Linked DNA regions of Mus musculus. The protein of the gene in region 7 interacts with the protein of the main gene of each other region in a pairwise test. Links are inferred from orthologs where the notes say so. Each region holds a gene or a part of one and is shown on either strand. Other genes may lie near its edges.

Evidence for each region.
Region 1: the proteins of Traf3ip1 (region 7) and Ccna2 interact in a two-hybrid assay, tested with the Homo sapiens proteins (2 studies listed by BioGRID and IntAct). The link is inferred for Mus musculus from reciprocal best matches to the Homo sapiens genes TRAF3IP1 and CCNA2.
Region 2: the proteins of Traf3ip1 (region 7) and Kif5a interact in a two-hybrid assay, tested with the Homo sapiens proteins (2 studies listed by IntAct). The link is inferred for Mus musculus from reciprocal best matches to the Homo sapiens genes TRAF3IP1 and KIF5A.
Region 3: the proteins of Traf3ip1 (region 7) and Immt interact in a two-hybrid assay, tested with the Homo sapiens proteins (2 studies listed by BioGRID and IntAct). The link is inferred for Mus musculus from reciprocal best matches to the Homo sapiens genes TRAF3IP1 and IMMT.
Region 4: the proteins of Traf3ip1 (region 7) and Frmd4a interact in a two-hybrid assay, tested with the Homo sapiens proteins (2 studies listed by BioGRID and IntAct). The link is inferred for Mus musculus from reciprocal best matches to the Homo sapiens genes TRAF3IP1 and FRMD4A.
Region 5: the proteins of Traf3ip1 (region 7) and Ift20 interact in a two-hybrid assay, tested with the Homo sapiens proteins (2 studies listed by IntAct). The link is inferred for Mus musculus from reciprocal best matches to the Homo sapiens genes TRAF3IP1 and IFT20.
Region 6: the proteins of Traf3ip1 (region 7) and Smc4 interact in a two-hybrid assay, tested with the Homo sapiens proteins (2 studies listed by BioGRID and IntAct). The link is inferred for Mus musculus from reciprocal best matches to the Homo sapiens genes TRAF3IP1 and SMC4.

What each region holds. Positions count from the first base shown.
Region 1 is NC_000069.6:36,570,239-36,574,349, reverse strand, and holds the start of Ccna2 (cyclin-A2), read left to right. Parts: upstream 1-1,311; 5' UTR 1,312-1,569; intron 1,570-2,046; 5' UTR 2,047-2,526; coding exon 2,527-2,712; intron 2,713-3,370; coding exon 3,371-3,614; intron 3,615-4,111. Other genes in the region: Bbs7 (Bardet-Biedl syndrome 7 protein homolog), read left to right, coding at 728-861. UniProt on the Homo sapiens protein: Cyclin which controls both the G1/S and the G2/M transition phases of the cell cycle. Functions through the formation of specific serine/threonine protein kinase holoenzyme complexes with the cyclin-dependent protein kinases CDK1 or CDK2.
Region 2 is NC_000076.6:127,228,864-127,232,363, reverse strand, and holds part of Kif5a (kinesin heavy chain), read left to right. Parts: intron 1-855; coding exon 856-1,072; intron 1,073-1,286; coding exon 1,287-1,440; intron 1,441-1,727; coding exon 1,728-1,795; intron 1,796-2,187; coding exon 2,188-2,215; intron 2,216-2,507; coding exon 2,508-2,586; 3' UTR 2,587-2,619; exon of another isoform or gene 2,620-3,314; intron 3,315-3,500. UniProt on the Homo sapiens protein: Microtubule-dependent motor required for slow axonal transport of neurofilament proteins (NFH, NFM and NFL). Can induce formation of neurite-like membrane protrusions in non-neuronal cells in a ZFYVE27-dependent manner.
Region 3 is NC_000072.6:71,851,820-71,855,319, forward strand, and holds part of Immt (MICOS complex subunit Mic60), read left to right. Parts: coding exon 1-61; intron 62-910; coding exon of another isoform or gene 911-943; coding exon 944-1,048; intron 1,049-1,353; coding exon 1,354-1,449; intron 1,450-3,500. UniProt on the Homo sapiens protein: Component of the MICOS complex, a large protein complex of the mitochondrial inner membrane that plays crucial roles in the maintenance of crista junctions, inner membrane architecture, and formation of contact sites to the outer membrane.
Region 4 is NC_000068.7:4,600,363-4,603,862, reverse strand, and holds part of Frmd4a (FERM domain-containing protein 4A), read right to left. Parts: intron 2,749-3,500; coding exon 2,508-2,748; intron 1,749-2,507; coding exon 1,584-1,748; intron 487-1,583; coding exon 1-486. UniProt on the Homo sapiens protein: Scaffolding protein that regulates epithelial cell polarity by connecting ARF6 activation with the PAR3 complex. Plays a redundant role with FRMD4B in epithelial polarization. May regulate MAPT secretion by activating ARF6-signaling.
Region 5 is NC_000077.6:78,535,177-78,539,160, forward strand, and holds the start of Ift20 (intraflagellar transport protein 20 homolog), read left to right. Parts: upstream 1-1,184; 5' UTR 1,185-1,400; intron 1,401-3,333; 5' UTR 3,334-3,562; intron 3,563-3,657; 5' UTR 3,658-3,659; coding exon 3,660-3,786; intron 3,787-3,984. UniProt on the Homo sapiens protein: Part of intraflagellar transport (IFT) particles involved in ciliary process assembly. May play a role in the trafficking of ciliary membrane proteins from the Golgi complex to the cilium.
Region 6 is NC_000069.6:69,021,738-69,025,237, forward strand, and holds part of Smc4 (structural maintenance of chromosomes protein 4), read left to right. Parts: intron 1-488; coding exon 489-722; intron 723-2,427; coding exon 2,428-2,613; intron 2,614-3,500. UniProt on the Homo sapiens protein: Central component of the condensin complex, a complex required for conversion of interphase chromatin into mitotic-like condense chromosomes.
Region 7 is NC_000067.6:91,518,668-91,522,167, forward strand, and holds part of Traf3ip1 (TRAF3-interacting protein 1), read left to right. Parts: intron 1-910; coding exon 911-995; intron 996-1,388; coding exon 1,389-1,472; intron 1,473-2,216; coding exon 2,217-2,340; intron 2,341-2,519; coding exon 2,520-2,556; intron 2,557-3,500.

The DNA.
Region 1 (4,111 bases), on a different chromosome or scaffold from region 7:
ATCTACCGTCTCTCATCTGTGATTCCAAAATCTAGGAAGCAGCTTTGAAAACCAAAGTTTACCTTTGTAAATCATTTACCAGCAAATTGTCTTAATCTGATTGACTTCATGATAAAACCTGATTTAAACTGACACGAAGCTTTTTCTATTTTTTTTTTAAATCCCACTGAGTGCAAGTATTCACCTGTTTATTGTAAAAGCATTGCCATTTTGTTAGCAGATATCAGCACTCAGTCTCATTGGACCAATATAAAAAGTATCAATGGTATATTCTTTTTCTCTTCCTAAAATATACTTTTTTTCAAGGGTCTTGTATAAATAATAGACAACTTGAGTTGTCTCTGTGTTACATCTTGAAAACTCAAAGGTGCAGTAATTTCCCAGACCTCTGCACCCAGTAAGCCCATGGGTGAAGTGCTTCAGTTCAGACGTTCTTCCTGATGCAGCAGCAGTCAGTCGCTGGGATGCAGGGTGCACCGACACAGATTCAGAATCGCGACCAGTGGCTTGTCTAGGTCAGCAGTTGCAACCCATTGTTAGAAGGTTATCAAATATTTATGTCTTGAAAGTTGCTTCAAACCTTCTCCACATACACATCTGTTTTTAAAAACACCAACCTCTTCCAGGCTTGTATGTGTTGAATAATGGAGTCTCAGGTGGTGAGAGAATGCCACATGCATTGTTAAAAGAACTAATCAATAACAAGAAATAATATTTTTCTTCGTAGGTATGATTACTGATCTTTTTATAGATAAATTTAAGTTCAAAGGCACTAATGTAAAAACCAAAGTACCCATGCTCCTGGAGATTCTCGACAGCTACGACCAGAACACACTGATTTCTTTCTTCGATGCAGCATGAAAGATAAACAAGGTAGGCCAACAGGACAGCCGAAGAAGCAAGCAGAGCCTGATCAGACCCGAGGCACCTCAGATGGACGTCCCACATGTAATCAGAAGAGTGACGGCCTCTAAGCATCCCCCTACGAGTACCCATGAAAGTCCTTTTTATTGTGTACTTGAGGGGAAAAGAAGATCTTTTAGTCATTCATTTCAGGGGAATATTGCATTGAAAGTTTTAGAATACTATTAAATAAGAGCAAATAAGCTGTCTTTTGTTTTCAAAGGGTAGTTATGAAAACAATGATTACATTTTATTATATTTTATGTATGATTCTTAACTATTAAATGTGAACATTTAAGGTAATATACTTGTGTCTTTATATATTTATTTAGGTTTTGTATATATTTCTCTGTGTGTGTGTGTTTGGGTTGGTTTTTTTTTTTTTTTTTGTGGTTTTTGTTTTGTTTTGTTTTTCGAGACAGGGTTTCTCAAGACAGGATTTCTTTGTGTAGCTGACCTGGAACTAACTCTGCAGTCCAGGCTGGCCTTGCACTCAAGAGATCCACCTGCCTCTGCCTCCTGAGATGCCCGGAAAAGGCTTGGCCATCGCCTCCTGGCTGCCCGGTTTTCTTATGAACACTTTTTTTCTACTTTTGAGACATCATCTCACTACATAGCTGACTTGGACTAACTTGAATTCAGAGATCTGAAACTCTGGGATTAAAGGTATGTACCACAATGCACTTCATTTCTAAATGTAATATCTATTTGGGTCAGTGGAACTTCATGGTCTGATGTCACAACCAAGGATTAGCAAAATTAATGGACAGCTGAATTTCTTGTAGTACACCACTTGTTATCAACAATAGCTCATGTTGGCATTTTAAATTAACCCATCTTTAATTGGGGGTGGGGGTGGGGTAGTTTACTGGAATGCGGGGCATAGAGACACGCCTTTAATCCCAGATCAGTGAGCTCTGATAACGGATATCAGTGAGTCACAGGACAATTGGGACAGCATTATGAGACCCTGCCTCAAAATCAAACAACAAACAAATGATATACAGGAGAGGTGAAACAATAGTAAACAGTAAAAGTTCCAGCGTTTCCCTATGTTGTATGGCAGCATCACAGAGAAAGAGAAAGGAGTAGTGTACCCAGGACGGGGCAGTTTGTCATTCAGATCCATACGCTCCTGCCTAGGCGCCACCCAGCGACCAGGAGAAGGCGCTTCACCCCTTAGCTGAGGCGAAGGCCGACACCTCGAGGCCCCGAGGGCTTGTCTGGACCGCCCAGCGGCTCCGGCAGGATCCTATGAGGCTACAGATCCACTGAGCAGCAGAGATCGGCCGAAAGCGGCCGCCCGCCCCGCCCTCCTCTGCGCAGGCGCGTCCTCAGGCTCCCGCCCTGTAAGATTCCCGTCGGGCCTTCGCTCGCGGCGACCGGCGCTTCTGGTGACGTCACGGACTCCGGACGCCCTCATTGGTTTATTTCAATAGTCGCGGGCTACTTGAACTACAAGACCAGCAGCCGGCGGGCGGCGCGCAGCTCGCGGCTCCTGGGCTCTACGCTCCTCCCGCCTGCAGCCTCTGCTCCGCGGGTCGGCCGCCAGGGTCCCGCGCTGCTCCGGAGCGGCGGGCGCTGTGCACGCTCTGCCGCCGACAGAACCGGACCGGAGCCGCGATGCCGGGCACCTCGAGGCATTCGGGTCGCGATGCGGGCTCAGCCCTGCTCTCGCTGCATCAGGAAGACCAAGAGAATGTCAACCCCGAAAAACTGGCGCCAGCCCAGCAGCCGCGGGCGCAGGCGGTGCTGAAGGCCGGGAACGTGCGTGGACCCGCGCCGCAGCAGAAGCTCAAGACTCGACGGGTAATAGGGCGCGGGGGTCTGGAGGAGGGCCGGGCGGGAGCGGTCCTGGGTTTAGCAGCCCAGAGGGCCGGAAAGCACGCTGAGCATTCCAGGGGGAGTCAGGCTGCAGTCTTCGCGGTCCGGGCGTTTCTAGTACCAAATAGTCCCACGAGCTCTGCCGACCCGTGTAGACCGCCCTTCGGCACTAGTGGCGCCGCGTTCCAAAAAATGCCCGGGGTCATACCAAGCGTTGCCACTCGCGTGTCGACTTCCCCCAGCTGTGTACCTTTCCCTCCACTTTTAAAGCCAGGCATTGCATTAGGATGTAGATCCCTTCCCCCTCACCATCTGCTTCCCAGATTACTACTTCAGGGAAGGACATAAAGCAAGTATTCTTCGTGGTAAATTCCGCCATTTTAGCCAGACTTGCTGTTTTGCTCCACCCTGGGGCTAAAGTTGTGAATCAGTTCTTTGCCCTAACTTTAGTCTTTGATTAGTTTGGAATTCCAGTCCGTTCTATTTATAGCCTTTGTAGAAATGGCTGTGACAGATCGGTTTACACACCTTTACCTGGGCTTTGCCTCATGGACTTATATGTTTCTTAGAGTATTTGGAATTAAAAGCTGATACCCACCGGGCTAGAAGCAAAGTTGTATTGAAAAAGATTCCTCCTCTTTAGGTTGCTCCTCTTAAGGACCTTCCTATAAACGATGAGCATGTCACTGCTGGTCCTTCATGGAAAGCAGTCAGTAAACAGCCTGCCTTCACCATTCATGTGGATGAAGCAGAAGAGACTCAGAAGAGGCCAGCTGAGCTTAAAGAAACAGAGTGTGAAGATGCCCTGGCTTTTAATGCAGCTGTCTCTTTACCCGGAGCAAGAAAACCACTGACACCTCTTGACTATCCAATGGATGGCAGTTTTGGTAAGGTTGCTTTTTATTTTTACCAGTCTCTCTTCCTTCTTTCCCTCCTTTCTGTCTTTTTATTCCCCCTCTGGGTTTCTTGAGTATCCTTGACTGTCCTGAAACTCAATCTGTAGACCAGGCTGACCTTGAACTAAGAGATCCACCTACCTCAGCCTCCCAAGTGCTGGGATTAAAGGCATGTGCCACAACCACCAAGCCTGTGCCTTTTATTTTTGAGACAGGATCTCAACCTGTAGCTTATATCTTGATATTTTGAGTTTTAAGATTATGTCTTACCCGATCATACACAGTGAGTTAAGATTACCGCAATCTCATGACTAGTACTGACCTATGAAAGGACTCAAATCTTTAACCGGCAGGAGGGCACTGCAAACCAACATCAAGTTTAATTAGATCGTAAATATCTATCTTAATCTGACTTTATAAATGTTTGGCTAGGAGAATAGATTTCAGTTTTGTGTCTGACTCACTCCTTAACATGCCAGCCCTAAGAG
Region 2 (3,500 bases), on a different chromosome or scaffold from region 7:
CCTTTCCCATCATGCTCTCTGCTGTGCTGACCTGCCTGCCTTCTTCCCTCCCTCCCAGCTCCCAAGGCCTTGCACCTGAGTAGTTTCAAGTGTCCATCAATGTATAGACACTGCAAAATGATCCAATGGCCTTTTCACTGCGGAGTGGTTACCATCACACTCTGGCATAATTTTAACAGGGTAGGGGAAGACAGCCCAGGGGGTCCCTGGGGAAAGGCAGTGAGCACAAACGTTTGTGCAATCTCAGGACTTCCTTTCCTTCCTGCGAGGCTCTGTGTGTGTGGCTGCATGGGTCCCAGAGCCTGGCTTCTACAGAGCCTAGCTTCTACTTTGCCAGGCTCTCACCTGCCGCGCCCTTCTCAGCCTGTGTCCACCCTCTGTCATGTGCTCCTGCTGTCCTGCCTTGGCACGCTCACTCAGCCATCTCATCCCCATGGGGCCCTGGAGCTGTGGGTCGGGCATGGGCTGTGGCGTACAGTGGACGGACGGGAGTGTCCAGATGGATGGCGCGTGGACAGGGCCATAGCAGAGCTGCAGGTTTTGCCACTTAGAAGACAGGGAGATGCCGGGCATTGTGGCACACACCTTTAATCCCAGCGCTCGGGACAGCCAGGGATACACAGAGAAATCCTGTCTCGAAAAACCAAAAAAAAAAAAAAAAAAAAAAAAAAGGAAAAAAGAAAACAGGGAGATGGAAGAACCGGCTAGAGCCACACACTGCTAGAGCAAGGAGGTCCCTTGACAGGGCCTTGATTGTCCTTTATTCTCTCTTCTCCCAACCCCCACGCTCCTCTGGGTGACTATTTTGGGTCACCGGCTTTTCTTCTGGGCTCTCCCGTGCGGCTCACTCCGCAGCTGGTACGTGACAATGCAGATCTGCGTTGTGAGCTTCCTAAATTGGAAAAACGACTTCGGGCTACGGCTGAGAGAGTTAAGGCCCTGGAGGGTGCACTGAAGGAGGCCAAGGAGGGCGCTATGAAGGACAAGCGTAGATACCAGCAGGAGGTGGACCGCATCAAAGAAGCCGTGCGGTACAAGAGCTCCGGCAAGCGGGGCCATTCTGCCCAGATCGGTGAGTGGATGTCAGCTGGTGAGACCGCATCGCCACCTGAGGCAAACGCAGCCAGTCCCTAAGTGCCAGACCACTCAACGCTTGCTTTTAGTCCCCAGCCTTTCCACCAGAGGATGACGCTGTCAGTTTGTGGTTTGCTGGGGTTGACCTTGGGGCCAGGTAGACTCGGGTAACCGATGATAGCTTTCTCACGGTTGTTTCTTCTGTTCTGTAGCTAAGCCTGTGAGGCCTGGCCACTATCCTGCCTCCTCACCCACCAACCCCTACGGCACCCGGAGCCCCGAGTGTATCAGCTACACCAACAACCTCTTCCAGAACTACCAGAACCTGCACCTGCAGGCTGCGCCTAGCTCCACTTCAGATATGTAGTGAGTGACGTGGGTGTGGCCGCAGTTCCAGCCCAAGGCCATCTGGGCCCTCTGAAGGCATTAGGGTGGTGTCAGCTCTTGGTTCCTTTAAAAATGCATTTCCTGAGTCCCGTGGTTTCTAACCCTTTTCGCGGTCTTCTGGGTCGTGGTTAGGAGGTGGGTGCTTTCTCCTTGTCGCCATGATTGGTGGCCTCTGTTGCAGGCATAGAAAGGGTGAGTGACCGGGAGGAAGGTGGGCATAGTGGCTCTCAGAATGGTGGGCTGCATCTGTATTCTGCTCCTTCCAGCTTTGCCAGCAGCGGAGCCACATCTGTTGCCCCCTTGGCTTCCTACCAGAAGGCCAACATGGACAATGGTAAGTGATGAAGACGCAGGATTCCCAGGGAAGATGAGAGGTGTTTACAACAGACACGAACAGAACCTTCCTCTCACTGGAGGGTCAAACAAAACGATACTGTCAGGGAGAGCTCGTGGAACAGCCTGTGCCTAGTGTGGTTTCTGCCCTGCATCCCATTCCTGGTACAGCTGGGGAGGGAGGGGTTGTACCGGGGTTGGGTACGATTCATGTGGACCAGCTTTCTCCTAAGGGCTTGCTTAGGTCTCCAGCCAAACCCACTATTTTCTGGAGTGGTGAGGGTAGAGTGCCTCAGTTTACCAGTTCAGAGGCATGGGCTTCAGGATGGGAGGGGTTGTGAAGACTGTTCCTCACGCCAGCTTTTTTCTAACCCTGTGTTCTCATCCCTTCAGGAAATGCCACAGATATCAACGACAACAGGTACTCAGACTTGGGGTCTCTGGGCGGGACCCAAAAAAATCGAATAACACTTCTCTAAGAGGACTTCCCTGGAGCTCTGGGGAGGAGGGAAGAAATGAGGCAGGAGATCCAGGCACTCCCATGGGTACTTTCTCCGTACCTCAGGGAACGTTCCGACCTTGGGCAAGGCCTGAGGTTCCTTAGGAAGCCTGCATCCTTCCTGCCCTCACCCGCCCTTCAGTATCTCAGGCACGCTGTCAGAGTGCTGGCCGCAGTGGGGGCAGAGCTGTTGACAGGCTGTTTCTTCCTCCAGGAGTGACCTGCCGTGTGGCTATGAGGCTGAGGACCAGGCCAAGCTTTTCCCTCTCCACCAAGAGACAGCAGCCAGCTAACTCCCAACCCTGGCCACATATCTGCACTTTCAGGTAGCTGCAGGCCACTTCCCTCCCTAGCCCCAGCCTCCTCCTGTCTGGCCATGGCTGCTTCTCCTGTTCATGTGTATGTGTATATGTTTGTATGTGTCTGTATGTGTGTGTTGTGTGTGCATGAGTGTACCCACATCAGGAGGCCAAGGTTAGTAGGTGTGGGTGTCTTCATTTGTGTGTGTGTGTGTGTGCGCGCTCACATCCACAGGCCAGCCTTGGTGTGGGTGTCTTCCTCTCTCACTTTCCATCTTACTTTTTGAGGTCTCTCACAGAACCTGGAGCTTGCTGTTTTGGGGTAGACTGGCTGGTCAGTCACCTCCCCACCCTCCCTCTGTCCCACCCCACCCCCCATATCTGCCCATTTCTGTCCCCTGGGGTACTGGGGATCCAAACATAGTCCTCATGTCTGTTCAGTAAGCACTTAGTGACTGAGCCAAAATCTTCCAACTCCTGCTTGGCCCTGTATGGCTGCACGAGGCAGAGGCAGGGAGATCATGAGTTCAAAGGAGTCCTGGATTCATGAGACCCTGTATCAAAACCAAACAGAAACATTTGCTAAAAAGCCCAAATCTCATTCATAGCCAACCCTGACCTCCCATGGCCCCAAGCCTTCCCTTAGGTGCTGGTGGTAATCACAGTACTCATTTCTACCACTAGGGGTCACTGTCATACATTAAAATTTTTGTTAAAGGCAAGGGCTGCTGTCCATCGGTCTACTACCTTGTGCCTTTACCCTAAAATAGCCTTAAAATAGCCTTAGATACACAGAGATGTCTAAGCCACCTCGTGTAAAGGTGATGTCTGCACTACTCCTGGATTGACATATGCTGCCAAAGACTCTCGGTGTCTCTAGCTAGAAACAACAGTACGGTCAGTAAAAA
Region 3 (3,500 bases), on a different chromosome or scaffold from region 7:
GACTCCAAACTGCCTGTGGCACAGAGCCAGAAAACGAAGGGAGACACTCCAGCTTCAGCAGGTACTGGTTAGAGCCACTCTTTGGAAGGTGTAATGGGAGGAATTGTCTTAATGTCTGTGCATTTAAAGTTAGAGGAGTGGCTTTCCTTCATAGGAAGTCATCTGTTTTCCCCCTGTGGGTTTCAGTGGTTGAGTGGCCATAGTATTGAACTTTGATTAGCAGTTAACTTTAATCCTTGTTTCCTTTATTTGATACCCAGCCTTTTATTCTGTGTATATGTTAAGAGATATCTTTTAAATGAGAACTTTAATTCTTAAAACAACATTTGTCTGATTTTCCTGTTTTCATATCCATTTCATCTCTAAAATTGATTTTCCTCTTCCATCATTTTTGTTTATAAATTAATCTTTCTTAAAATTGTCGTTTCTGAAGTGATTTTTTTTTTTTAATGAATTCTTTTCTTGACACACTCTCTTTCTTCACTGTGAACACACTCTTCTCTGTGTTTGGAACTGTCATCTTTTTCCACATCTTTCATGTCTTCCTTCATCTCTGCTACTCTTCAGAATGGTTAGAGACCCTCTGCCAAATCGCTTTCTTGTCTCTCTCTCCTCCTTTGACCCAGACTCCTTTGTATTCTGCTGTTCTTTTTGATGTTACTGATGTTCCCTTTTCTGTGCTTAGAGTTAGCACTGTTTCTAGAAGCCTTTCTTGAGGTAAGAGGAATTAAAGTGTCTGTAGGCATGGAGAAGACTTTGTGTCAACCTTTGTCAATTTTCTGTTTCTGTTTATTAAACACAGGGCAGTAGAAGTATTTATATGTTTAAGTAGTACAGTGAAGAGCTCAGCAGTAGTTTCCTTCGTACAGGTAACAGCAGTATGAATATCATGCATAACATGTATTTATAGCATCTACAGGGGCAGCTCAAATTATTTCTGCAGCAGGTGATACACTTTCGGTCCCGGCCCCTGCAGTTCAGCATGAGGACACTATAAAAACCGAATGTCCCAACACTAATGAAGGAAAATCTACGTCTGAAACCACAGGTAGTTTAATTATTTATATTATGCTATAGATGTTTTGCTCACCAGAACTGTATTGCCTAGGCAGCCCATAGATAACTGGAAATACATACCTAGACTGTTTCCAGCCTTCAAACTTGCCTAGGGAAGATTTTAACTTCTAAGTCCAAATTGATCCATATGTTAAGAGTGAATCCCTTATTTTCTTTGGAATCCATGAGTTTAGAATCCTCACCACTTTTTGTTGATGTCACTGCTTTCTTTGTATCCCTGTTAGCTGTTAAAAATCTGTTGAAATTTGCTTTCCTCTTGTTCACTTTTGCTGCAAGAGGAAGCATTCTCATCTTCTGTAAGGGAGCGACCACCCGAAGAAGTTGCAGCTCGTCTAGCGCAACAGGAAAAGCAAGAACAAGTTGAGATGGAGTGTATGTAAATCAAGTCGTCCTCAGTGCTCTCTTCATCCATTAGCTAGCACACCTTGTGGTTCAGTAGCCGGTGGGGTTTCTTTGGTTTCCCTATGTCACTGCTTAGTTCCCACCATCATTTCCCCATCCGTGCTCTTTCCACGTAAACTGCTCTTACCCAGGTAACAAGCCCTCCTGACGGTGTGTTAGTGAACATTCCAAATCCACTTCATTTCTAGATGAAGCTATTTTAGAACTCCAGGAAACAGAAATGGATTATTTCAACCTTTAATGCTTATATACGTATGTATAGGAAAGAGGGTGTTCTGGTGTTGCTAGTTTTCAGCAAAACAAGTGTATTTCCTCTTACGTTTCAATACTGTGTGTGTGTGTGTGTGTGTGTGTGTTTAGGTTCACTCACCATGAATGTCTAGAACTCAGAAATTGACTTTAGATATTTCCTTGTATTGCTATTCACCTATTTTTTGAGACAAGATTGCTCATTGAACCTTAAGCTTGTTGTTTCTGCTAGACTAGAAGTTCTCAAGACCTGTGGGTCATGACCCCATTGGGAATCTCCATAAACCATCTACATATCAGATATTTACATTCTGATTCATTTTATTTTTATTTTTTTTGAGACAGGGTTTCTCTGTATAGCCCTGGCTGTCCTGGAAATCACTCTGTAGACCAGGCTGGCCTCGAACTCAGAAATCCGCCTGTCTCTGCCTCCTGAGTTCTGGGATTAAAGGCGTGCGCCACCACTGCCTGGCATTTTAATTTGAATTTTAATTTTTTTGGTTACATTCTGATTCATAACGGTAGCAAAACTACAGTTTGGTTGGGGGTTACTACCACATGGAGAACTGTATTAAGGGGCTGCAGCATTAGGAAAGTTGAGAACTCCTGGGCTAGACAAGCCAGTGTCTTGGGATCTGCCTGATTCTCTACCCCAGCACTGTGGTTATAGATGAACTTGCTGCCATGCCCAGCTTTTACGTAGATGGTGAGGATCTAAACTCCAGTCCTTACGCTTGATCAGCCTTTTGCTCACAGAGCCATCTCCTCAGCCTGCTATTACATAGATACTCCTCTTGTACAGGAGATGTAGGCTGTCATTTACTGTTCTATGTGCTGGGTATTAGTGACTTTGGAAATAATGGGGTATAAAGAGCTTTTTGCTAAACAGGAAGTTACTTTCTTTTTTTTTTTTTTTTTTTTTAAAGTTTTTTCGAGACAGGGTTTCTCTGTGTTGCCCTGGCTGTCCTGGAACTCACTCTGTAGACCAGTCTGGCCTCGAACTCAGAAATTCGCCTGCCTCTGCCTCCCAAAGGAAGTTACTTTCAAATTCTTTAGCAGCTATTATGAATTTCCTTTCTGGCCACATCACCTGTTCTCACTGCTGCTGCATCTGGCTGTTTCCTTGGCACCTTATTGGCTCTACCCTATGCTAAGGAGCTGCTGTTATGAGAGGGAGTGGATGGGAAGGAGCCTTAGGTCTAGGGCATTCGTGGAATTGTGTGTGGTGTCTTATTCTTGGTCTTGTTATAGATAGTTGAAAATGTTAAATAAGTTAAAAAATCCTCAGTGAAATGTTTTTGCACTTTCTCATTTGTCAGTAATGTTACTATTCTTCCTCCTTCCTTCCTTCCTTCCCTCTCTCCATCACTCCATCTGTCTCTGATACATTTTGCCGTGTGTAGCTCAGACTGTCTTTGACCTGTATACACCGTAGCTCAGGATGGCCTTGACTTCACAATCCTTCAGGCTCAGTCTTCTCAGATATAAGATTACATGTGGATTCATGTTCTCTACTCAATTTCATTCTTCTGACATGAGTTCCTTGGTTTAAGTTATAAATTGGAGATGCAGAGTCTGCTGCTTTAGCTGGTCTCTTTGGGGTTGGTCTAAATTTTCTTGATTTGGTTTAGGTAAACTGAAAAAAAATTAGCATCTTTGCTTTTGCCTCTTAATTTTTCTTTAAGCCTTAGAACTATGTATGCATGTGTACTTTTTTTCTTTTTTTAAATCAAAGATTAGAGCATAGTCAATAGATGTCCAAAAAGGATAAC
Region 4 (3,500 bases), on a different chromosome or scaffold from region 7:
TCCAGGCTGCGTACCACCACGGGTGTGGCACTGCCCTCGATATATAGTGGGTACTCCTTGATGCGGTACTGAGAGCTGGGCTGGCTCTGGCTGTGCAGGTACACGCCACCTCCAGTGCTTGCAGCCCCGCTGCGGGCCGCCAGGTTGGGCATGCTGCCAGAGCTGGCTGAGCCCAGGGCGCCTGCTGCCCGCTGCCTCTGCCGCTGTCGCTGCCGCGCCTTGGACGGCGAGTCCTCAGCCAGCGTTGAGTAGTTGGCGTTCATCTGTGCTGGGTAGTAGTGCTCTGAGCTCGAGTGGCTGGTGCAGGACGAGCAGTCGTCCATGGGGTCTGAGCCATTGCTGCTACGAGTCCTCGGGGTGTAGAAGTCGGGGCTTCCGGTGTCGTTCTCCGAGCCCAGGAGCTTGCCCTGGGACTCCAGGCTGGAGCTTCGATGCCTAAAGTGCAGTGCAAGGCTGTGCAGTCTCGTGGGGCTGATGTCCACTGACCTGTTGGGGAGACAGGATTGGTCTTAGAGTCCTGGATCAAAGGGTCCCACAAAAGCCACAGGCCAGGCTCAGGGCCTCTACCAATGGGAGAGCCCAGCAAGGTTGCCCCTGGAAAGCCAGGTTCTTCCCTAGGTACCAGGTGAGGAAGGGAGCTAAGAATCTCTGGAATCCACGTGGCACCTAGGGAGTGGATGAAATGTGTTGACCAATGTCTGAGGGCTTTTGCTTCTTAAGAAAATGATGCTATTGATAGAGAAGCAAATTCCTATGTTCTAAGCATTACACTAACCCCTTTAAAATAGTGATTGTAGGTAATAAAAAACAAAAAAACAAAAACAAAACTAACAACCAAAAGGTCTAACAGAGGTCCTCTCGTGATTGAACCAAAGACTCCTCTGAAATGAAAGCCAACGTACCTAAATGGCTGTTTCTTGTGAGTATTCTAAAATGGAGGGTTGGTGAAACATGGAACCCCTAAACATGAACGATACACTTATCTACCAGTAGTACCAAGACTTTGCCTCCAATCCATCAATATCAACAAGAGGAAGGTGATAGAACCCAGCAATAGGAGGTCTTATGCAAATTCCTAGCGACTCTTGGCCACATCCAGGCAGAAGTGTACTACATCACCCTCACCAGTGACCTTCTGTGATGCAGCTTTACCTCTTAGAGAAGGGATATGATTCAGGGAAGTCTATTTTTCGGTTCATTTCTTTTGGTTACTATAAATGTACACCTTGAGGCATTAAAGTGGGTCCAGAATAGATTTTAGACCTCATGAGAAAGATATATGAGGAACGGAGGGTAGAGCAAAGGTTAGCCTGGGGTGTCTATGGCTGCTGCACTCTCCCACCTTAACTGGGCTAGTTTTCCTGTTTCCACTCCTACTAGGATCCTTGTTACCTGTCTTCAGAAGGCTGGGGCTCTCTGGCCCCACAAGTCCCTGGATATGGATAGAGTTGACTATATTGAGTGTCCAGGGTAAAGTGGACCTTAGCTCCCCTGTTAACTGGGCTAGATTGGAGCCAATGATGTCTTACTACACCAGGGTCTGGCCCAGAAAGGCAGGTGGCCTAAAGGCCCAGCAGACTCACCTTGTGGAATGAACATAGTGGGGACTCCGGACGCGCAGGTCTGGGGTGGATGGCATGCTAGACTGGGAATTCCAATGTGGGAGGCTTCGGATGGGACTGTTCTGCAAGGAGCTGCTTACTCCTGCCTCGGTACAGCTTCCTGTGCTGGGGAAGCGCTTGTGGCTGCTGCAAGCGAGAAGAGGGAAGCCATGCTGATCACACGAATACCATGTGGCAGCGTTGGTAGGGGCTGACTAGCTTGGGACAGTAGATCTAATTGCAGGGAGAGCTTGCCCGGGACTCCAGCTCTCACTATCCCACCTCCCCCCCTCCACTCCTCGAAGTTAAGCACAGGGTGACTATTCTCTGGAGCCTTCATCCTTAACAAGCATTGTTTTACAAGATACAGTACCTGCTAGGGTACCCTCTGGAGCTAATTAAGGAACATGAGGAAAACAGAAGCGGGCCTAAATGTCTTCCAGATAATCCTCTCTACGACGTTGATATTAACCAAGCAATGAGCTGATAATGTGTGCAGCTTGCATTTCAGCTGCTTGGCTCCAGAACTCTGCGGGAAGATCGTATAGGGTTCTATACCACCCTGAGGATCCTCAGATCCGGCTCTCCTTTGCCATTCTGGAATGCTGCTGGCTACAATTTCCTAATTAATTCCTGTGAAATGTAACAGCATTAAATCCATCTGCCAACAGGTTGACTATGAGCCAAACCCTTTCCTCCCCTCTTCCCCCCTCCCTACCTTCAGATGACAAATCTGTACTTCTGGGGGTTTGCCAGCAGAGGGCTTTGTGCGCAAAGCTGAACTGTGAGTTCCAGGAAGGAAAAGAGTATCCTTTGGCAATATTTGTAGGTTCTAATGTGGGGCAAGCCTTTGATTCTGTTTGAGCATATCCGGGGACCTCATTTGGGTGTCCCAATGTAGCTCACCTGGAATGGCCGTGGGAGGAGCGTTTCTTCACCTTCTCATAAGGCTCATCTAAAGATGACTCGCTCCACATTTTGGGCTTTAAGGGTGACTTGTCATAGTCGGTACGGTGATAGTGCAGCTGCCTGAGTCCCTCCAGGGACTGTGGGGGAGGAGGCCTGTTGTGTGATGAAGGTGGCCGAGGAGGGAGTCCCTTGTGTGGCGACTGTAAGGGGGATATTGTGCTGGTAACCTGAGAGTCTTCTGCATGGACAGGAGGAGGAAGAACTCATCAGAGACATTATTTCCACAAGAGATGGAGCCTTTGCCCAAACACACCATGTCAGTGCCTTGGAGCTACACTTCACATATGTGCCAGGGCTCTGTGACCCTCCCACACTGGGGTCAATCCAGGTCAAGGCAGAGCCCAGACTGCAGGCTTAACTGAATGTGAAGGGCACCGCTGTCACGTCTGGTTAAGTGCGAATAAAGTCTGAGTTGGATTTGGTGTCACCAACAAGTGATTGCTTCATATTAATCAGGCAAATGAAGTATTACGTTCTAACTTTTCCTTTTTAAATTTGGTGCTAAGAAATGAGCCCAGGGCCTCAGACATGCTAAGCGAGTGCTCTATCATGGAGCTATGCCATGACGTATGTTTGGAGAGACACTAAACAGATCTCCTTTGCTCTGGGGGGAGGGGAGTTAACCTTCTTGAGGATTTTATCTGCTCTGTTAATCCCTGTGTCCTCAGGGTTAAAATGACAGCTGGCATTCAGTAGGTACTCAATAAATATTTGTTGGAGGAAAAACCTGAATTGGAAGTATATCTGTGAGGTATGATTAAGTGCTGACAGATCCGCCTTCTACCATCCATGCTTCCCTCACAAGCTTCTTAAATTTCCTATAATCTATCCTGGCATATTTAATCTGTGATGTCGGAGTGGAGCCCAGAGCCTCTTGTGAGGCTCTCCACTGAGCTATAGCCTCAGCTCGGCTCAAGGTGTTTTAGAGGA
Region 5 (3,984 bases), on a different chromosome or scaffold from region 7:
AGGTCTATATTGGTGCTATATTAAGTAGCATATCCTTTTGATGGCTTAATTGCTTTCAGTGATGGAACATGGAGGAAACGAGCTCCGGGAGTCTGACAGTAACACTACAATGCTAGACTGGTGAGCGACTGACCGCCTTACCTCAAAGCGGGAAAAAAATCAACTCCTCAACAAGTTTTAGCAAGTTCCTCACATACTTTGTGTGCAGTCCCATTTCCCCAGAATCAAGGAAGCACATAAACACGTTCTGCCAAATCAAAGAAACCCAAGTGACTAGGCTTGCCAACTGAGGAAGTCAAATCCGGAGCTAATCTATTCTTTTCCTCCTAAGAGCTACTTTGAGTCCTAGATGACGTCAGACCAGATTCCACCCAGACCAATTAGGTCCAAGAGTCCAATGGCAGGTGACGCCCTAGAAAGAAATTTCTGAGAGGATGAAGTTTCCACTGATAGTTTCAGGGCTCTTTCCTCAGGACTTCGCCTGTGGATAGAGGGGTAATCCTGGGGCTGGGGAACATACACGTGTCTCTATGGGAACCTAATGCGAAGCCAAGCAGAACAAAGCGCAAACGATCACGGTAGTTCAAAGACTTGGGGTTCTAAAGGAAGGACACGAGGTACGGCGAGGTGGGAAGGCTGATTTTGGCAAGAAAGGTCAGAAATCGTGGAAGCGGCTCTTATGTTTCACCCAAAGGCTCTCCAGTGGAAATGGAGAAACATCCCATGTCTCTCGTTGCAGTGTAGGCTGCTCTCCCGCCACACCCCTCCTCTTCTGAAAAACTGAGATCCGTGGTGCCTCCCATCCCCAGAAAAGACCTGAACTTCATCCCCGCGCGCCATCCCGTGCCTTTTGCCCAGGACTCAGCAGAGCCTGTCCTTCCCCTCTGCACCCGCACCTCTGGCTCTCACCGTCCGCGGGGACGCCTCTCCGAGTCTCAGTCAAGTAGCAAGCGGACTCGGTGCCACCTCTGGCCTGCGGCTGCCTGCAATCTCGGCTGTGAGCTCACATCCTGCGCCCGCCGACTCCGGAGTTACAGCCCAACCCTACAGATCGGGAAAGAGACTACAAGACCCGGCATGCACAGCGCGCGAGCTAGCAGTGGGTCGAAAACTTGACGTTTGACTTCCTTCTACTTCCGGGTTCGGGAACAAATCTACTTCCCGTGTCGTAGTCCCCGCCCCCTGAGCAAAGGCTTCTGGGCCTAGTGGGCAGTTATCGCGTGTTGCATCTATTTCCCAGCAAGCACCGCAGGGTGGGCGGATGCTGGTGCTTCTGGACTCGGGGGTGACGTGTGGCTCCTAGATCTTGTCTCCGTGGCAGCAGCCGGTTGCAGTTGCCGGAGAGAAGCTTCTACCGACAGTCGTCAGGGCCGCAGAGCGCTGCCGAGGCGGCTCGTCAGGTAGGTCGGGGACGTGGAGGACTTGGGACGGGAGGAGGCCGACGTGACCCAGCGCCGAGGATTGGCTGGACCGGGTGGAAAGCGGCGGTTTCCCTACCTCGGAGTTTTTAGGGATCGGGTTTACACTCAGCTCAGCCTGGCTCCCTCGATGTCACCGGTGAACCGAGGTTCGGACATTGCAGGAGTATAATTTAGTAAAGACAGCCGCGCCATTTGCCCAGTTCTTCCTGTGTCTACGCCTTCTCCAAACTCCACAGCTACAACTATTTGTTGTGCCTGCGGACCTGGGAGAGCCAGGGAGCGTAGAGCCAGGCACAGCCTTCATGCTTAGGAAACTCAATCCCACGTTCCTGGAGCATATTTGTGGTGGGAGTTAGGGGTGGGCTGGGGATCTGATAGCCCGCTATGTACCATATCTATCTTACCCATCTCTTTAAACTGTCCTTTCCAGCCATACTCTCGGTCCAATCCAGATCCATGGCAATCGTGTTTGGCTCCTTTCTTCACTTTTCTCCAAAGTGCTGCATTAAGCATTACTAAATTCTGTCAATTCAGACATCATCTGATCTCTGAACTCCCGTTCGGCTTCAAATCTTTTCTTCTGTTACAGCCTTCTGTTTCCACATGAATTCATTCATTCTGCAAACATTATCAGAGTGCCACTTACCTGCAGGCAGCCTGCTTAGAGATGCTTGGCTCACAGTGAGAAATTTGGAAAGGACGCCTCTATTCTGCTCTTCCCTGTTCCCTCTGTTTGGCCAAGGCAGTGAGTGATCTTTCCAACTCTGATCAATAAGCACTGCCGAAATCCACTGCTAGCGGTTATCATTATAAAAAATAATCCAAGTTCAGCTGGGTGTGGTGGCGCATGCCTTTAATCCCAGCACTTGGGAGGCAGAGGCAGGTGGATTTCTGAGTTCGAGGCCAGCCTGGTCTACAAAAGTGAGTTCCAGGACAGCCAGGGCTACACAGAGAAACCCTGTCTCGACAAACAAAACAAAACCCAAGTTCATTTACTCATCCAGCTATAGCCGGTTGCCAGCCTTGCTCCCTCTTGCTGTTTTGATCCCAGGACCCTTTGTGTCAAAATCTTCCAGCCTTAGGACGCCCCCATATGCTTTTCCCTATGCCCACAATGTCCCTCTCCCTTCTCTTAGAAGATTTTCTGGACGTGTTTAGGTCCCAGATTGTTTTTTCTGAAGGCTTTTGTTGACCTCTCTGCCTACTTGAGTTATGTCCTCCTGTAGAATCCTGACAGAGCACTGAGCGCTGTTCCTCATACCCTGATCACAGTTTGTGTTTATTTGCTTACTGTCTGTCTAGAGACACTATGTTCACTCTGTCCTTGGAGCTGGGATTCAATAAGGGTTTTTGTTTTTGATAAATGCATGTTAACTCAGAAGGCAGTAGGAGTTCAAACAAGTGTTTGCAGTCTCATGTCATATGAACTCTTCCATAGGACCTGGTCCAGTTAGTCCCTAGGAGCTCTTAAATACTCAAACTATCCAACTAGAACAACACAGGAAGGCAATTGTTTTTTTGTTTTTTGTTTTTTTGAGACAAGGGCTTGTGTAGCACAGGATAGCCTGGAACTCAGTATGCAGCCCAGGTTGGTCCTAAACGTGTGTCAGTCTTCTAGCAACACAGTGAGTTGCTAGAATTAGAGTCACGCATGACCATAGCTAGCTTTTAACTCTCATTTTAAAATTCATCCTTTTTGTTTTGTTTTGTTTTTCATTTCAGGGCATGCATTTGAAAAGCCTTTTTGGGACCTTAAACAGGGATTTATGACTATGCTTTTATCTCGCTCGCAGCTTAGGCCAGATACACCCAAGTGAACTGAAATTGTCTTTTCTCCTTGCTTAGTGATATTTCTGTAAAAATCACTTGATGCAATATAATCCTTCAGGTTCACGTGTCTGTTTTCCTCCAGCTAAGCTGTGCTGCTCCAGGGCAGGCACCATGTTGCATTCATCTTTACGCCCAGCATCTAGCAGTGTCGGCATGTAGTAGGCACTCAAGAAATGTATGTTGAATGAACGATGTCTGTGACAAGCAACTGGACTTTCCTCTTTCCTGACCCTTGCTCCTATGACATACCTCCTGATTGCCACTGTCACCCCTTCAAAGCAGACCTCTAGGGCTTCCTGGAAGGGAAACAGGTGAGGCTGAGAGCTGGAGGCAGAGGGATGGGTGTATGAGGAGGGCTGGGGTGGTGTCTGGGATGAAATTCAGGTCGCTGCTGGTTTCTCTGCAGCTATGGCCAAGGACATCTTGGGCGAGGCAGGGCTGCATTTTGATGAACTGAACAAGCTCCGAGTGTTGGACCCAGAGGTCACCCAGCAGACTGTGGAGCTCAAGGAGGAGTGCAAGGACTTTGTGGACAGTGAGTACCATCTGGAGACACAGTGTTGTTCTGCTTTGAGCAGTTTCCTTACCTGACCTTGGCCATTGTTCTTGGGTCTACCAGAATGAAGTTGCGTGCTCTCTGGATTGAGCCTGGTCTCTGGGTTCCCATGTGTACCCAACCTTCTCTGCTTGCCCTCTTACACTGCCATGGAGTCCCACATTTAGTGCCAAGCAA
Region 6 (3,500 bases), on a different chromosome or scaffold from region 7:
GTCAATACTTGAGCATATAGCAATTCTGTACATTTGGTTTGTCGTTTGATTTACATTGGGGTTTTTCTATGTATCTTTACCCCTTGTTAATGATAAAACTATCAATGAAATTGAAATGAAATCTTCCCATGATGCATATTTTTCAACAAATACATTTGAAAAAATTTTGTGAATAGTTCTTATACCTGGTAATGTAGAAACAGTATGAAATCTAGGTGTAAGTCCAGTGTTTCCTTAATTATTACATTTTTATTTCAGAAATGAGCATGCTATGCCAGCTTCACAAAACTCATAGGACATCAGTTAGGAAGAGACAATGAATAGTGTAAATGGAAAACTAGACATGGGCTACTTTAATCTACTCCACTTATTCAAATTATTTTTTAATAGTACTCTGTAGACCTTCCTTTCTTAATTGACTCAAGAAATACAGTTTCAATCTAAACTTGAAAATATATTTCACTTCTAATGAACTCATATTTTAATAGATTCAAGAAAAGGAACTTATGGGTTTTAACAAATCAGTAAATGAAGCACGTTCAAAGATGGAAGTTGCTCAGTCAGAACTTGATATCTATCTCAGTCGACATAATACAGCAGTGTCTCAATTAAGTAAGGCGAAGGAAGCCTTAATTACAGCTTCTGAGACTCTCAAGGAGAGGAAAGCTGCAATCAAGGATATAAACACAAAGCTCCCTCAGACGCAACAGGAACTAAAGGAGGTAAATTACTTCTGTATTTCATCTGCATCGTCATCTCTAGAGTTATATGTGGGAGTTGTTTGTTTTGTTTTTAATGTCCAAGTTTAAAGTGGTTGTTATAAAAAAATTTTCTTAATATACTCTTGAATGAGGAAACATTTTAATATTTGAATTTAGTAATAATTAGCTGGACTTATAAATGTGGGTAGGGAGGTTCTATAGCATGTACAAGGCCTGGGTTCCATCCCTAATACATCCCAAAAAAGAAAGAATGGGAGTAGAGTCACTATTGTCTCCAAACACAAATAACCACTGCCACAGTCCCATAGGAATAATTAAACATTTCTCAGGCTGGATATGAAGCTCAGTTGGTAGAGTGCTTACCTATCCCTAGCCAGGAATGTCAGTGTGCCTATAATCTTAGCATTTGAGAGGTTGAAGCAGGAGATCACTTTTAAGACCAGTGTTAGTGGGGCTGGAGAGATGGCTCAGCGGTTAAGAGCACTGACTGCTCTTCTGAAGGTCCTGAGTTCAAATCCCAGCAACCACATGGTAGCTCACAACCGTCTGTAATGAGATCAGATGCCCTCTTCTAGTTATTTGAAGATAACTACAGTATACTTACATATAATAAATAAATCTTTAAAAAAAAGAGAGAGACCAGTTTTAGCAACATAGTAGATTCCACACTAGCCTATTTTCTCCCTCCCAAAAAAATGTTTCTCTAAATAGATAAATGTGGGTAACTTATATAAACATACATGAAAAGTAACAAAGTTTTTAAAATTTCTTAGTTAGACATCCCCACCACCTCCCGCCACCTGGTTATTTGAGGAACTGGAGAGGTGGCTTAGCAGATACAAGCATTTGCTACTCTTACTAGTTCCCAGCACGCGCATTGGGTGGTTCATAACTACCTGTGACTTCAGCTCCAGGGTTTCTGATACTCTCTTCTGGACTCCAGGGAAACCTACACCTACACCTACACACACACACACACACACACACACACACACACACACACACACACACAGAGGTATATATAGTTTAAAAATAAATATTTTTAAATTTTAGTAAATTTATACTGTTTGATCATCAGGCAGTTTCCTGATGTGTAAAATTTAAATGTAAATTAAATTATATCCAGTAATTATTTCTAGTGATTTGTTTTCTTTTGGGATTGTTTTTTATACTTTAAGCTTTTACTCTGACTGGGTCATAAGTAATAGAGGAGAATAACAGTTAGAGAAAGATGGCTGTTTCTAAATTGGGAATTGCGAAACTAAATTTGGGTGTATGATTCTTCTGGTTGACAGCCATTTCCGCCATCTTTTCCATCTCTGTTTAGGAACTATACCTTTTTGTTTTGTTGTTTACTTAGCCAAAAAGACAACAACCACAGAACTGCCCAGCTACACTTACCCTGGAATCCATTTCCTGGATTTGGTTTTGTTTAGGGCAGAACTTGAGAAAAATCTACTAGGGTTTTTATATCCCTATACTTAAAGAGATCTGGGTTTCCTCTTTTTGAGCCAAATAATTTATGCTTCTTTTAAAATAGGAGACACTCATCCGAATGTTTAAAGCCAGGCCAAAATAGCACTATGGAAGCTCAGTGTTACTTAGGGGCCTCACTTATTATTGTTGAAACAGTATAAATAGTTTTCTGCTGCTCTGTAGTGTAGTAAAGATCAAATGCTTGTACGTTTCATCTTCTCACTTTTAGAAAGAAAAAGAACTTCAGAAACTGACACAAGAAGAAATAAACTTAAAAAGTTTGGTTCATGATCTTTTCCAAAAAGTTGAAGAAGCAAAGAGTTCCTTAGCAATGAATCGAAGTAGGGGGAAAGTACTTGATGCAATAATTCAAGAAAAAAAATCAGGCAGGATCCCAGGAATATATGGAAGATTGGTAAGTAGATTTACGTTTTACTCAGAAAAGTCCTAAGAGCCAGGGTCTATATGAGCTCTGATTAGCCTTAAGCCAGCTGTAGCTAAGGTTGACCTTGCACTTCTGATCCTCTTCGGTCTTCCAAGTGCTAGGTCGGCGCTTGGCACTATACAAGAAAAGTTTTTTCAAAAGAGGGGGTTGGAGGGAGACAGGCAGGCCATGGTGATGCATGCTTTAATCCCAGTCCTTGGGAGGCAGAGGCAGAATTCAAGGCCAGCCTGGTCTACATATTGAGTTCTAGGCTGACCAGAGTTACACGGTGAGACCCTTTCTTTAAAATCAGTTTTAGGATGTGGTGCAATATTGCTTAGAGATCTGTTATCCTGTTAATCACCATGGCTGATTTGACTGATCTTACTAAATAAGCTTGTGCCTATTCTCTGTTTCTCCCTCACCGTTCAAAGTATGTCTTTCTTGAAGCTGCACAACTCATTCTAACAGATGACCTATCCATTTGGAAGAGGACTGATTTTTTTTATTTTTATTTTTTAATTTGGTCAAAGGTGTACCAAGTTGCTTTCCTTGCTAGGCCCAGACCAAAAAAAAAAAATTAATATAGTCTAGGTTTCATAACATACTTAACATTTTGGTTATGGTTTCGGGAGGTAGACTAATTTAGAACTCTGGTAGTACTAGTTTGGGGGATCTATACCTTTCTTAGCCTTAGCATGGAAGAATGCTATATGATTTAGAATGCTGTAAGTATCTCTATTCTATTCATTTCTTGCCCTGCAACCATAACTGAAACCTGAACCCATACAGTTGATGGTTCCCTATCAGCCTTCTGAAAAAAGAAACAATGATCTGGAAGGACAAATAGAATTTAACCAGCATGGTTACATCTATAT
Region 7 (3,500 bases):
GGCCTCAAACTCAGAAATCCGCCTGCCTCTGCCTCCCGAGTGCTGGGATTAAAGGCCTGCGCCACCACGCCCGGCATAATGTTTATTTCTAATGTTAAAATTCTAATTTTACTGTTTTATGAAGTATAAATTTATTTTGTTTTAAATAGTAGAATAAATTCTATTGTCTTAGTAATTTTGATTTGTGACTTGCTGTCTTAGCCTTTTTATTAAAATGAAAAACACTGTGTTTTAGCCGGATGATCCTGCCCACTTCCAATCTCAGCACTTGGGCGGTAGAGTCAGGGAGACCTCCATAAGAGAGCTCCAGGCCATTCAGGGCTACCTAGTAAGACTTTGTCTTAAAATACAAAGAAAATTATGTACTGACTGTTCAAAGAATACAGCACCCAGTGTAATTGTAGATACTTTAGAAATGGAGTCCAGCGTGACAAAGTGAAAGGCATTTGATGGTCTTTGTTTTTATAACTGAAGCACACACACTCCTGGGGCCCCCGCGGGAGTGACTGAGATCTGTCACTGTGCTCTGTGAGGAGTGCACATGTGAGTGGGCTAGAGCTTCTGAGCGATTGCCACACTGTCTGTCTGTCCGTCCGTCTGTGCACGATGTTCTTTTCCTCAGGCTCAGTTCTTTTGGCTCCATCACCCTTTATTCCTTGATTGGTCAGCCACTGTGCATTAGCAGAACTTGAGTGTGCCCATGTCCCCAAATGTCCACATTTAGATGTCTGACGTCTGTCAGTTTTAACCTCATCAGTGATGGGTGAAAAGAGTTCATTTGCATTTCAATTATTTGACTGATGCCTTTTCAGATGTTTATATTTAATTTGTTGATATTTATATTTGAGTAAATTTATTTTTGTTACTATTGAGTTCTTTTTGAATGCTGATTGGATTGTCCCCTGTTCAGAAGTAGAAGCTGGACCTGCTGGCCAAGATAAGCCGGAGGTGATGGAGAATGCGGAAGTTCCCAGTGAGCTTCCCTCCAGCCTCAGGTGTGTCCTCCGCTGGGGTTTGGGAGTGTGGTCATGCCTAGGACAGTGTGGGGCTTCCTGCCATAGCATCCGCTGCCCAGTCAACACTTGTTCTGTGGCGTAAGGGATTATTTGTGCAAAGCAAGCGGAAACTACCTGTCTAGTTTTCTTGTACCTGAGTTGGAGCATTGTACAGTTTGGAGAAGTTCCTAGTAATGGGAAGGCCTGTGGTGCTCTGATGAATGGCAGCTGTGCCCATTGAATGGGGCTGGTGTTCCTCTGCAGAGAGTCTGAGTGTCATGCCGACCGTGGCATGGGAGTGAACACTAGTGCTGGCCTGCCTATTTGTCCTGTCCACATTGAGATTTGTGTGTGTTTCACAGTCTGTTTTTTTTCCTTCCAATATTTTTTTAGAAGAATACCTCGGCCTGGGAGTGCACGGCCAGCACCTCCCAGGGTCAAACGACAAGAGAGCACAGAGACACTGGTGGTAGACAGGTGAGGCTGCCTGGCCAGGGGGTTCTAGTCACAATGAAGCCACACTCCCCAGTGCTGGACTGTGGGATGCCAAGGTCTGGGCCTGTGCTGAAAGACTTGGTAGGGTGTAGTACTCAGTACTAGGAAAAAGAAAAACTTACCTTGAAGAAATAGAGGATTAGATCACTGCCTTAAACCACAGAGCAGCAAGCATTCCAGATTGGCAAAAGGGAGAAATACGTGTGTTCATGTATCAGATGCCTCAGAAAGCATGGGCCAGCACTGGCTGTGTTTCCCTGACCTCTAGATAGAAGACTGTCAAAGTGTAAAAAGGAAGAGAGCTGAAGGTGTAATTGTGCAAGAGTTAAACAACAGGTACTCCGAGCTGAAAACACGGCAGCGGTATTGGATAGAGGCGTGGCCCTGTGAAAGGGGTCGGTCCCAAGTCACGTGACCCACAGGGCCCACTTGTGCCACCCTTGGTCTATCTTAGAGTCAACGTCAGCAAACAGGGCAGAGCCAAAGGACTAGAAAGGCTGGGGTAGAGGGCTGGGGTGGCCTGGAGCTCTGGGCAACATGGAGGCTGTTGTGTGGGAGGTGATATTCTCCCTGTTCCCACTGTTCCCTGAGAGTTCCCTTCACCTGTCTGGGGCAATGGCAGTTCAGCTCCTTTCTGAGAACTGTGGTATTTCCAGATGCAAGGGGCTGACAACAACTGGTGGCTGATGGGTCGTCACTTCTAATGTAATGACTCTTGCTGCTTAGGTCGGGAAGTGGTAAAACCGTCTCCAGTGTGATCATCGACTCCCAGAACTCTGACAATGAGGATGACGAGCAGTTTGTGGTGGAGGCTGCCCCTCAGCTGTCAGAAATCGCAGACATTGACATGGTTAGTTTCCCCGAGGGCCCTGTTCTTAGGCACACGTTCAAAAGTGAGGACTTGGCTTTTCAGCTTATGTAGACACAGTTTCTCTAATTTTTCAGTGAGCTGTCTGGTTTCTTTGTGTTTTTGTTATTTATTTATTTTGAAGTAACAAGGCTTCCCTGATCTCTCTCCTTTCCGCTCAGGTGCCGTCAGGGGAGCTGGAGGATGAGGAGAAGCACGGTGAGTATGGACCGTGCTCTTGTCGGTGTGTGTGTGGGCTCTCTGTGTCCTCTGAAGATGCAAGTGGCCATCCTGTGCCACAGGGTCCTAGGAGGGACACTGTTGCTGCTGCCATGTGGGCCTGGGGGAGCCATAGAACCTGAGATCAGAGTGGACTCCAAGCATAGTGGCATCGTATCTTGTCTTTCCAAGAAACTGTGTCTATACATGCTTATATGCACACATGAACATGAGAATAGAATTTGTTATGTAGCCCAGGCTGTCCAAAACTCTCCATTTTCCTGCCTTAGCTTCCTCAACAATGGAATTCTAGGCATATGCCACATCCAACTCAGTTTTGGTTTTTATTCATGTAATTCTTCCTGTGGCTTTAAGGTTAACTGTCCATAGCCAGCTGCACTGAGAGGTGTACATTTGTTTTGTGGTTGTTGTTATTTGCGGCAGGGTACCATTGTGTGGCTCTGGCTGGCCCAGACTTCACTGTGGAGATCTCCTTTTGATCATTTTCTTGCTTCTGTCTTGTGAATGTTGGGACTATAAGTTTGCACCACCCCACCCAGTGCTGAGGTCTAAGACTTCTCCTTTGTTCTTTCTCCCTATATTCCTCTCCCTGATAGTGCAGGTGAAAATGTGACTGGGGGTGGGGGTGGGGGTGGGGTTGAGGGCTCATAAGAGAGGGCAGCTCATGATAGAATGTTGACTGACATTCTGACACTTCTCTCCATCCCCCTATTATCCACCGCTTCACTCCTCTTCCCGTAATGTTCCTAAGCCTTGGAGGGCGGATGAGGGGTGCGGTGTAGATGTCCCACTTGTGGCTGAGCTTGTGTTGACACTTTGGTTGTGAGTTTGCACATTAACCATCGTCTGTGCATACAGACATACAGACTTAGTGGGTAGTTTGATGCTATGTCCTTTTAGTAGAAAAGAAGTTTTCCTCTGGG